Linked DNA regions of Drosophila melanogaster. The protein of the gene in region 2 interacts with the protein of the main gene of each other region in a pairwise test. Each region holds a gene or a part of one and is shown on either strand. Other genes may lie near its edges.

Evidence for each region.
Region 1: the proteins of E(spl)m8-HLH (region 2) and ato interact in a two-hybrid assay, tested with the Drosophila melanogaster proteins (one study listed by BioGRID).
Region 3: the proteins of E(spl)m8-HLH (region 2) and Hr78 interact in binary tests that used the Drosophila melanogaster proteins (3 or more experiments, as listed by UniProt).

Annotation. Positions count from the first base shown.
Region 1 is NT_033777.3:8,276,073-8,279,778, forward strand, and holds ato (atonal), read left to right. Parts: upstream 1-1,979; 5' UTR 1,980-2,053; coding exon 2,054-2,992; 3' UTR 2,993-3,202; downstream 3,203-3,706. UniProt on the Drosophila melanogaster protein: Developmental protein involved in neurogenesis. Required for the formation of chordotonal organs and photoreceptors. Seems to bind to E boxes. Specifically required for the photoreceptor R8 selection.
Region 2 is NT_033777.3:26,038,653-26,041,508, forward strand, and holds E(spl)m8-HLH (enhancer of split m8, helix-loop-helix), read left to right. Parts: upstream 1-1,587; 5' UTR 1,588-1,671; coding exon 1,672-2,211; 3' UTR 2,212-2,356; downstream 2,357-2,856. UniProt on the Drosophila melanogaster protein: Participates in the control of cell fate choice by uncommitted neuroectodermal cells in the embryo. Transcriptional repressor. Binds DNA on N-box motifs: 5'-CACNAG-3'. Part of the Notch signaling pathway.
Region 3 is NT_037436.4:21,493,518-21,499,467, forward strand, and holds Hr78 (Hormone-receptor-like in 78), read right to left. Parts: upstream 3,978-5,950; 5' UTR 3,774-3,977; intron 3,667-3,773; exon of another isoform or gene 3,626-3,666; intron 3,505-3,625; exon of another isoform or gene 3,391-3,504; 5' UTR 3,343-3,390; coding exon 3,303-3,342; exon of another isoform or gene 3,225-3,302; coding exon 2,904-3,224; exon of another isoform or gene 2,876-2,903; intron 2,352-2,875; coding exon 2,082-2,351; intron 1,964-2,081; coding exon 789-1,963; 3' UTR 502-788; downstream 1-501. Other genes in the region: CG7519 (uncharacterized protein), read left to right, coding at 1-265; Glg1 (golgi complex-localized glycoprotein 1), read right to left, coding at 4,698-4,975.

The DNA.
Region 1 (3,706 bases), about 18 Mb from region 2:
TTCCTCATGCCGAAGAGAGTCCTGGAAAGAGTATACTGAATTAGGCCGGCTAGTCAGCAATTTGGTTACTTAACAAAATGTAGAAAATAACTAAATTAATTTAGTTACTGCGTCAATAGTTTAATGGCCTAAGTAACTAATACATGATTTGAGAGTTTAGTAAAAAACCCAATATACAATTATAACATTCACCATATTATATTACACTCAAGAATATACAGGTTGGTTTTTCTAGGATAATATAAGAATATGATTTGGATATGACTACAAGAGTGTTTCATGTTTCACCCAAGCAGATTCATACCCATTCAATTGGCTTTGTCATGCGCTTTCTGGAAGCTGCTCCACATCAGTTGCATTCCCATCGATGGCCAAGTTGCATTTATGCATATTGACATGAAAGAAGTGGCCCGTTACCAGCGTATTGATGCCAATGAGCTGGAGCTGAGGTATTGGAGGTACTGGTACTCATAAGGTATGTGGGTCCGATGTGAGGGATCAGCCACTCGATAACTGACAGGCACGCAAGGCGCCCGATGCCGACCATTGGCGAAAAAAGAACTCGACTTGACTTGGAATGACCCTTTTTGCCCCCTCGACTGGCAGCACGTGCATATTGCGATGCGGCAATGAAAATGTAAATTTCCCAATCGATATGCAGCGGATGCCTTGACATCGGCTAATGCCGATAAGCGAAAAACTTTACAGCGGAGATGCAATCCGAGGGATACGATCTGCACAGGTACATATTGCAGGTGTAACTACTGTCTGTTGCGGCAAGTGGCTCGTAAATTGCATGGAAGGACATTCACGAGGGACGTTCAGGACATTCGAGGTCTCTCAGGGGTGGACAAAAGGTCAAACATGCCTGTGTGCGTCCAATAAATTGGTGGTGCCGCTCTTGGTGCGGTTTGTTGTGTGACATTTTTATCTAATTGACAGCGTTTTTATTGCCCGGCAAAAAGATCAGATCCTTTGGGGCGTGCTACTAGTTGTGCGACTGGGTGGCCGCGGAACTTCAAAGATGCCCGAACACTCCCCCGCAAGTGGTTGATGTAGAATTCGTTGCATTATGATTTCCAGCGAATCATTAAGGATTAAGGGGCGTAGCGAAGGGATCTAAGGACCACCGTGGACGCTTCGTTTTGCTGTGTCATCCTGGGATCTACAACTAAATTCCCTGCTCACGATCGAACACACGGCCGTATTAATTGCAAGGCGCTAAAATGTTAACCCAGCTCTTAGTTACTGCCTGCCACGCTTATTAGGCACGACGAGGGCTAAGGTGAAGGTCAGTCCTGGCACTCGGTCAAGCGTGTCCTTGAAGGGCCGGCGCTATCATCTACCTTCTTCATGGTACCGGCAACAAGCGTATCAATTGGAAAATTTGCCAAGTTGTAATAAACAAGATTTTTCATTGCGATATTCCGCCCCCGACTTTGGGTAAGCATGTCGAATGACCCGGCGGCGGTGGATTTGTAAGGATTTCCCTAGCCGTGATCAGGTAGATCGAACCCACTTGCAACCGATGCAGATTAGATAAACTCATAAGACCCGCTCTGCCATTTGGTGCTGACAAATCGCCAAGGGATTTTTGCAAATTTCGCTTCGCTTTGCGGTCGACTTTAATCCCGTTTAGGGATTCAAATCGATTGTTTGTCCAAGTTCTGTTTACATTTCCGCCCATATTCCTGTTCCGGTTGTGCCGGCCATCCTATAATCATCTTGTTAGCGGCTTTAGATGCCCAGATAGTCGGTTTTCTAGCGCCATTTTAAGCTCGCAACGAACTGAGGTATAACCGGGCTCTCTGAGACCGCTGCAACTCACCACCAACTGCCATTGGTCGTGCCACTCGGGCGGCACGTGCTGCCTTCTGTGGCAACTCGTTTACCTGCCCCCCTACCTGCCTTTCAGGCCCTTCTGACCGTCGTGGTGGATTTGTGAGTATAAATAGGGCCGAAAGGACGAGAGACCAGTCAGAAACCCGCCAGCACTCGCAGCGTTCGTATCGTTTCATCCAGCAACATAACACCACCATACAGCAGCAGCAACATGTCGTCCAGTGAGATCTATCGCTACTACTACAAGACCTCCGAGGACTTGCAGGGCTTCAAGACAGCCGCCGCCGAGCCGTACTTCAATCCCATGGCAGCCTACAATCCCGGCGTGACCCACTACCAGTTCAATGGCAACACCCTGGCCAGCAGCAGCAACTACTTGTCGGCCAATGGCTTCATCAGCTTCGAGCAGGCCAGTTCCGATGGCTGGATCTCCTCCTCGCCGGCTAGCCACCGATCTGAGAGTCCCGAGTATGTGGATCTCAATACCATGTACAATGGAGGCTGCAACAACATGGCCCAGAACCAACAATACGGAATGATTATGGAGCAGTCTGTTGTTTCCACAGCGCCTGCAATTCCAGTGGCCTCTCCTCCGGCAGTGGAGGTCATGGGCTCCTCCAACGTGGGCACTTGCAAAACGATTCCAGCCTCAGCAGGTCCGAAACCGAAGCGTAGCTATACCAAGAAGAACCAGCCAAGCACCACCGCCACCTCCACACCGACTGCAGCTGCGGAGTCATCTGCCTCAGTGAATCTCTACACGGAGGAGTTCCAGAACTTTGACTTTGACAACTCCGCCTTGTTCGATGACAGCGTCGAGGATGACGAGGACCTCATGCTCTTCAGTGGCGGTGAGGACTTCGATGGCAATGATGGATCCTTTGACTTGGCCGATGGTGAGAACCAAGATGCCGCTGCCGGAGGCTCTGGAAAGAAGAGGCGTGGCAAGCAGATCACACCCGTCGTGAAGAGGAAGCGTCGCCTGGCCGCCAATGCACGTGAGCGTCGTCGGATGCAGAACCTCAACCAGGCCTTCGATCGTCTCCGCCAGTACCTTCCCTGTCTGGGAAACGATCGCCAGCTGTCCAAACACGAGACCCTCCAAATGGCCCAGACCTACATATCCGCTCTCGGGGATCTGCTGCGCTGAATTCCCGGATCCCGATCCCAGTCCCAAGTACTATTCTCAGTTATTGTTGGAGCTTGCCAAATGTTGTAGCTACTTTGTATATATTGCCTGGAGCCCAGTAGTGAATTACCGCTTAAGTATTATGCTGTTTATTGTTTAGTTAATTAGCCTAAATGGAAGACAATGATTAAGACTAAGGAAGACAAAATAAAAGCACCATTAATAATTTAAAACATATGTTCGTTTTTTGTTAACGGGGACTTTCTAACAGTTTTAGTAGCTATGCAACAATTCCTAGATGCAAAATGATAAATACAAAAATTCCAAGCCATCCAAATCCTTTCATCTCTGAACAATTCTGTTTCCCCAATCCTCGATATCCACACTTATCGGCGGGGCATCAATTCTCACACAGTGAATTGGACTTTATTATATGGGGGAAGGTGATCGATTTGGCGCTTCGCGATCAATTTGTAGACAGTTCGACAAAATTAGGGCCCCTCTTAATCGGGTTGGCCAAAACAAATACGCAGCGGACGATAATTACACGGCACGGCGCGCCGGACTGTAGCTGCCAAATTAAGTTAAGTGTTGGGCTGATCTGCTTTCAGCAGTCGCAGGTCGCATGCAATGTCCGTATGTCCGCTTGTCCGTATGTCCATTTGTCCGTCGCTGTCCCTGGAACCTCTGCAACTTCATATCCCAGTGGAAGTCCCAGTCGAGCCCCGAAAATCA
Region 2 (2,856 bases):
TAAAATTTATTCTTTTACAATTAATCAATTAAATTACATCACATATTGAGGGTTGCAATAGCATTACGTAAAATCATAGGTAAGTGTATTCAATTCCAAATTCATACCACATTATTAACCTCTGACACCCAAAATACTATAAGAAGTGAGAGTATCCCTCCCCATTACAATAATCAATGACGTTGTTTTCCACCCATAAAATGTCAATATTAAGAACCCTCAAGATTTGTAAGGGAGATATACAAATCCATCTCAATTATTAAGTGAGGAAGTAGCATACCCTAGGCGGTTGCAAGGGAGGGACACAAATCCCATAGGTAGGCATCGATGTCAGAGGTCGATTAGTTTCCTAATAGAAACAGAGTTTATAAAAGTTAACTCGAAAGTGAAATTTACTCAATGGAATTCTAATACACCATACTTGCATGCGAAACCCAAGATTCCGAAACCAAAAGCACTTAATATTAGCTAATTAAAAATGGGTTTAGAAAGATACGCCAGACATTATAAGTTCCTATTAACTAAATTCAAAGAAAACTTTTGTATCCTATGATTACTTTAACAATCTTATTAGGATGAGCCACACATTGAACAAACCACATTTACCATAAGACAAGATATTTGAAAAGTGCACATCAATTAACCGGTGAAAAATTACTAATTACCAATTAGGGGGTTGCAGGAAGTTAACTATGTGCATCCCATAGGTAGACATTCCGGCACAAGGCCCACCTCACCTCAGCCTGGGCATTGAGTACTCAACCTCGGCCACGAGTGTGGCACGCGGGGCACACTTTCTGCGCCCGTTTGACCCACGTCCCCCTGCCAACCACCCAAAAACCCGAGATCAGACAGCCCAAACGATGGAACGATCGAACAACCAAGGCGACCCGGCACGAAGCCAATATGCCACATCCACTAATTGTGTCCAATAAACACTCGTCGACGGGGCACTGTGGGAACGGAAAGAGGAGATCTCAGAGTTCGCAGTTCGGAGGTCGGAGCAGGAGTAGGGGCTTATACAATCATCGTCTGCTGGCATTGATGAAACAATAAGCGAGTAGATGGCACGGCAGGATAACAATGCCAGAGCGGCCCACGCACAAGCAGTTCGGATCCCCTGCCCCTGCTCATCATGCTTCGATCCCATGTACCCATATATGAACGTTCCCATTCCAAACACGACAGGATGAGGCAGTGAAGTATGCATTAAGGATAATAACACCGGCCCAGAAAGCAATGCGAGCAGCCAAAAACAGCGACAGCTGCAAAAATGTGCCCTGATCCTTATACTCGAAAAAAAATGAGAAGCGGAGCGGAGCGAAGCATGTGGCCAAAAGGGAAAACAAACGAGAAAAAATTGTGTGAGAAACTTACTTTCAGCTCGGTTCCCACGCCACGAGCCACAAGGATTGTCCTCCGTCCTACGAAGTTGCAGCTGTTCCTTGTGAAAAAGACAACAACACCGGCGTTTAGCCGTGCGAGCGAAAGAGAGGGCAGGAAAGGTGCGTATCAGAGGGTGGATTTCAGGGACCAGGGAGCGGTATAAAAGGACGGGACCTCGCAGAGCAGAATATCACTCACGATTACGCCGTCGAGCAGGCAGCAACAAGCCGAATACAAAATTTTTCAAAAATTTTTAAAACTACGTAACCTACTACCAAAACAAAAATGGAATACACCACCAAGACCCAGATCTACCAGAAGGTGAAGAAGCCAATGCTGGAGCGCCAGCGACGTGCCCGCATGAACAAGTGCCTGGACAACCTGAAAACACTTGTCGCCGAGCTACGAGGTGATGATGGCATCCTGCGCATGGACAAGGCCGAGATGCTCGAGTCAGCGGTGATCTTCATGCGCCAGCAAAAGACACCAAAGAAGGTGGCTCAGGAAGAACAATCCCTCCCCCTGGACAGCTTTAAGAATGGCTACATGAATGCCGTCAACGAGGTGTCACGTGTCATGGCCTCCACACCTGGCATGAGCGTCGACCTGGGCAAATCGGTGATGACTCACCTGGGACGCGTCTACAAGAACTTGCAGCAATTCCACGAAGCACAGTCCGCCGCCGACTTCATCCAGAACTCGATGGACTGCTCCTCAATGGACAAGGCTCCGCTCAGCCCCGCCTCCTCCGGATATCACAGCGACTGCGACAGCCCCGCCCCCTCGCCACAGCCCATGCAGCAGCCCTTGTGGCGCCCCTGGTAAAAACAAGGGGTTAAGTGGCAGGAAGGTAAGGGTGGAGTGGCAATGGGAATGGAAGAACCAACCAACAACGCATCTGTGATAGCCCAACTGTGATGGCAACAAAATAGCAAAATTAAAAAAGCAATTAGCAAAACAAATATAAACCAATTTAAACAAATATCAAAACAATTTACTTTATTGGGATGTTGGGAGGGGATCTAAGGGACCAATCCCTTAGTTGGTGGCAATTGGAATCCTTATTGGTAATTAAATTATTACCAATTAGGAAATATCAAATAATATATCTCTGCTCTGACAATGGAAATCTATTTTGGCAATGACCGAAGTGAAATCTATTTTATAATAATAAATATTTATTTATAAATATAAATAAATTATATTTATTTATTTATATCTATTTAATAATAAATTAAATATATTTCACTTAATTAAAATAAAAGTGTTTTAGAAAACTAGCACTGATAATTTTAAGTTTTTTGAATCGGTAATGTCCTTAACGGTTCACAAGATTGAAAATAGCAAATCAGACTGAATAATAATAAACTGAATAATTATTTATTCATTTTTAAAAAGCGCGCCAACTGCACCTGAAGAACATGTACAGATCTAAGTTACGTATTTATTGCGGAACTTTTTTCACTTTTT
Region 3 (5,950 bases), on a different chromosome or scaffold from region 2:
CCGGCTTACCGATGATATTCTCAAATCCGCCACGGCGAAGCTCAAGTGGCGCCAGTTCGCCGAGAAGTTTAACAAGTTGGACGATTACTCGTATGGCACCCTGATGCGCGCCGATGCCAGCAGGGAATTCTCCCCGGACAACTCTATCTTCGTGTTTCGCGTCCAGTTTCTGGCCATCGAGATTGCCCGGAATCGGGAGGGACTCAACGATGAGGCTTACGAGAAGCACAAGCCCGCCAGAAAGGTACCCGAAGAGGAACAGTAATCCCTCGCTCTAGCTTAGATTAAGTTGTAAAGACTGGATGCATATTTAGCTGCAGTTCGTCTATCTACTTTAGTAAACAATCAAATTATTTTTATACAAAAAATAAAAATATAACGACCGCCTTTAAATTGTTCCCTACACGTTGCCATTTCTTGACTTTGTATTCTGCTTTCTGCCAATCTGTGGGATGAGATCCACATCTTTAATAAAAATTAGATTAACATTTGATCAAAGTTGTGTTGTAATAATCTAATGTATACATCTCAAAGTTCTGATGCAAACATTCTGTTTAAAAACATATTCGCTTTTATTGGGAAATCGATTCCATTTTATCTGTGAACAACAATAAACCCATGGTTTTATGTTAGAATATTGTATCCTAAACTATATATTGTATATATTAAATATATAATTAATGGGATTTGCCTAGTTGCTACATGTATTGCCCGCACTTGGTCCATCTTCAGTCTTGCTTTTGGGCAGTCTAGCGAATCTGCTTGCGCCCTGTTCTTCTCAATTCCGCCTACAGTCCACTGGTGTTGCTGGTCATCAGTATGAACGGAATAAGAGCATCCATCTGCATCTGCCCCACCAAGTTGGCGAAGAACAGCTCCTCCATGGCCTCTGCGTCCAGGCTGCTGAGCGGAAGAAGGCGAGCCACCAGAACATTAAAGCGCTCCTCGCCGCCGCCGATGCCACCCTGCCTTCTCAAACTTGACAGAGCGTAGAGTTGGACTCTGCGGACGTAGCCTCGCAACGACCGCTCCTTGCGCTGCTGCAAGAGCGTTGGATTGAAGAGCAAGATCAGACGCAGCAAGCCAAACTCCATATCAGTAACATCCAGTGACTGGAGCTCCTGGACAAAGTCGTGCAGGGTCCTGGTGAGATTTGCCATCTTCGAGATCTTCAACGGTTCGATCTTATCGATATCCGCTAGCTGGCGAGTGCTTTGAATAAACTGCCCGATAATGGTGGGCACCGAAAGCTGACCCTGACACTGCGCCAAAGCTATAGCCATTAATGCTGGCCACACTCCTCTCAGGAGTTTCACCTGTGTATGGGCTTCCAATTGTTCGAAAACTGGAACCTTTCGAAGGGTATGGATGGTGAGAAAAATGATTCGCGAGCCCGTCTCACACACATAATGAATATTTAAATACGAGTGGACCAAAGTCGGCGGTTGCACATGAAAGGCACACTGCACATCGGTGAGAAGATCCTGTTCAAAGACCGCCTCATTGATAGCAAAATCGCTTCCACCGCTTCGGTTCCCACCGCACTCAAAGTCTAGTTCCATGTGCTCCAGCTCCGCGTCTACGGCATCCTCGGTGCCACTGTCCTCCGCCTCTGAATCGCACTCGGGCTTCACACTCAGATTACCATTTCGCTCCAGTTGGTTTTGGATGGGCTGCAGGATCTGCAGTCCCTTGTGGATGACCCGCATGTCCAGCGAACTCTGAATAAGCCCCATTGTCGAGGTGGTAGGCAGAGCGGTGGGTACTTCCCCAGCATTAAAGTTCAGGTGCTGCGAGTTGTTGTTGCTGGCGCTGTTGGCGAGCAACTGCAAGCACAGCGTGCTGCTGTTGTCCATTGAGTCGTCCTCGTCATCCTCGGGATCTGCCTTCGGAATATCTGGCGAATAGCTACCACTCTGTTGATGCTGTTGCTGTTGTTGCTGCTGCTGTTGGGTAGCGAACACTGCAAAGTCAATAGGAGATTATTAATGGTGAATTCGTTTAAAAGAAGTTAAATATGGATCAATCATGGCAGTTAAGTATATATGACCAACCAGAATGTAAATCAAAGTTCAACTTACTCAATGTCTGCGTTAGTTCTGCGAAATTCAAACCCATCGGGAATATATTCTCATTCAAATTGAAGGCCGTTGCTGGCGCGCTGTGCACTGGAGGCGTGGCCGCGGATTCGGCCTTTACACTGTGCCCCTTGCCACGCCCCTGCTGATAGCCGGACTTGCCGGATAGGTAGGTGGACGAGCCATTACCGCCGCCAGAAGTGGATGAGCTACCGGCAGCAGCGATGATCCCCTCCTTCCTGTCCACAATCGGTTTCCTCTCGTGCTGCACAGCTGTGAACAAAAGTTGATGAGAACGGAAGGCAATTAATTAGAGCGAGAAGTGAGGTGAGGATGCGGTTTGATGATTTTCAAAGCGAGGTGATGGTGAGTAAGTGGGTGAATTGGTTAATGTTCGTGCAGGCTGGGAATCTTTTGTGCCTCCGCCGCTGCAGTTTTAAGATGTGCAAGTTACTGAAGTGGATATTCACGTTACAGAAGCAAACACTGGGATGCAATTAGATTCACGTGATTACTTGGTGTAAAATGCACTTCACAGACGAAAATTGAATTGAATTCAATTGAAATTGAACTTTCTCTAGATTAGACTATTTATCTTTGAGTCCAATTCGAATTGGAGATCATCCAACCAGTTCTTGATTAAGCTCTGGGAAACTGAGTTCCTGTGAATCGATAACGTTTCATTACTTGTCAGAGTTAAATGCTACATATATGATATCTCCTAATTTCTACAATGCAATTCTGCTAAAGCCTGCTGGAGCACGTAGACTCTGGCCAGGCCAGAGATTGGTTATAGCTTGAGACGACGACTTAAACGAAAATTACAATCACTTCGCATGCCGCTGGCCAGGCACTTCTGTAGTCGACAGAACTGGCACCGATTCCTGTGGTGCTTGGTGACCTCGCAGTTCATAGCCCCGCGACACTGGTAGCCCAGCTGCTTCCGGATCGAGCGCTTGAAGAATCCCTTGCAGCCTTCGCAGCTTATGGCTCCGTAGTGCCGCCCGGAGGCGCGGTCCCCGCACACCAAACACAGCTCCACGCTCAACGTTGCGGATGCTCCGGCTCCCATTCCCACGCCGCCTCCTGGCAGAGGAGTGCCGCCTGAGGCACTGCCTCCTCCGATCAAGGGCATCGCTCGGTTTTCTGCAAGGTCAGAGGGCAATGGCAACAGTCGCGTTAGAATGGGCTCCAAGGTGGCATGGCTCGGGTGATTGGACTCACCTTCGCTTTTGATGAACGTCTCAACCTTAACGCCGTCCATTGTCGCCACAGCAGGCGGCTAAAAAATAGTCGTCGGCTGTATAAATAACTGAAACCCAAACATCTTCACATATGTAATTTAAATTTTACTTGCAATATAAAGTAGAGAAGAGATAAATATGGAGTGTGTCTAGAATAAAGGAATTACGAGCCGAAAAGAGAGGTATGAGGTGGTTAATTCTATCACAAAATATATTTATATAGTAGATAATAATAATAATAATAATAAATGTATTATAATATATTATATTGATGTTTTCAAAAAATAAATCATTGAATTTTACGCAATATAAAACACCGTTGCTGCTGCCAACAAAAGTGCTACTATTTTGGACGCAGCTGTAGCTAACGTAGCCAGAGCTATTTTAATAGAACCTGTTTTGGCTGCATCTGTGTGGGTGCCTGTGATGTGAATGAATTGGTCTTGCTTACTTGGCTCTTTGAAAATTCTTATTGGACGTCTGTTATCACCATTCTTGAGCTTTTAAAAACATCTATTTTTCGAGGCACTTGGTTAAAGTTATGTTACTTCCGGTCAGTTACGATATTTTCAGGCACTTTGTGCCTATTTTGAACCTTTTCTAACGCAATAAAATCTCCTTGTTCCAATTCACTTGCGAGCAGTGTGACCGCAGTTGGGCTCTTTCAACATACCATCCGGTCCCATATACTAAAAAAAGGCAGCTCATTGTGCAAATATACCAAAACACCTGTAGAGCTACAGTTCGTTGAAATTGTAATTTTTAACGTAAAACAAAGGATAATAATAGAATTACTAATATCAATAATAACAAAGGCGTGTCTAGGGTACAAATTAGAGTCAAGCTTAATCAATTAACACAAATTTTAATTCTCATAAGCCCACAAGGACATAATATTAAATTTTATACTTTGAGTTACCTTGGCTATTTGATTAAATTGATAAGCCTATCCCAAGTTTTTACTTAACTTTTGTACTCAAAACTAGGCGCTCTGCCGTATTAGCGCTCTGGTATTGATCCAAAGAGAAACATCTGTTGATGCCTTCCATGTGGATATAGTTAAAAAGAAGGGGCTTTTGTTTACAAAAATACAATTTAATATACAAGTGAAATTGTTACAAAAAAGCTATAACGAAAAGAGCCCTAAGAATGGAACTAGTATATTTGATTGTGTTCTCCTTTCTCGCGTATTTTTTGGTCTTACAAACGACTAAGCCACAAATTGCTCACACAAATATCGAAAGGCAGACAGGGTTGAGTGAAAGTATACTTCTGGGTTTCGGAATGGGGTCATGGATGGGCCGAAATGGAAATCAGCAAGCTCACAAACATGCACACTCCGCCTACACAGTGCCACTACAGTCTAATATTTCAATTATTTATTCTTTAAGCCCATTGCCCGTTTGGTGGCCCGTCCCAGGAAGATGCCGGTGAGGAAGACCAGGCCCGTGGCGCTCATTAGTATCACAAGGAAGAATTTCCGCGCCGGAGAGGCGACGACTTGTTGCACTAGCTGCTGCACATCCTCGGGCGGAAGCGCCAACGTGTCGTCTGCGTTCCTGAACATCTCTATGCGTCGCTGCAGCTTTTCTCGGCAGTCCGCCTCTAACGAGTTCGGCGTATCCTTCAGCAGCGTCCTTAAGCAATTAAGTTCTAGAACATAGAGAGAAAAACATTAATTATTATATTTATAACCACACCAACCACACACACACACACACACACACACACACACACACACACACACACACACACACACACACACACACACACACACACACACACACACACACACACACACACACACACACACACACACACACCCCCCTGCACCAAAAAGGAATGTTCAAGAAATTTCATAATTTGCTGCCTATCACGTAACTTCCCGTTGTTTATTTACACTATGTACTGTTCTTATTCTCTTAGTCAATCTGCCTCCAATTATATCGATCTGCTTCAAATACATAAGCTGTTTGATAGGTGCTTTCACTAAGAGTTTCCAGTGTAGGAAGAGGAATTCTACTATCTGCCCCCCCTGGCTGATGGCCTGGCCAAAGACCCTAGAATAACAAGATGCGTAACGCCATACGATTTTTTGGCACACGATTTTTTGGCCGTGGCTCTAGAGGTGGCTCCAGGCTCTCTCGAATTTTTGTTAGAGAGCGAGAGAGCGAAGAGCGCTACAGCGAACCGCTCTTTTCTACGCATACAGTGATAGCAGACAACTTTATGTGTGCACACGTATGCTCATGCATTGTAAATTTGACAAAATATGCCCTTCACCTTAGAAGTTCTTTGGCTTTAAATCTATATTATTTTTGATCAATTGGCACCATGCGAAAAATTCTTGTTTTGCATTGCCTTAACGTTATTATTATTTGAAAATAGATTAGAAATAGTCAAATCTATGTACATATTATCACAAAAATAAATTTCAAAAATGACTTTATATAAGAATATTTGTCATTAGAGTATTCATCTTGCGGCGTGTGAAAAATTAATAAGGCAATGATTGTTGAGTCAAAGACCCTAGAATAACAAGATGCGTAACGCCATACGATTTTTTGGCACACGATTTTTTGGCCGTGGCTCTAGAGGTGGCTCCAGGCTCTCTCGAATTTTTGTTAG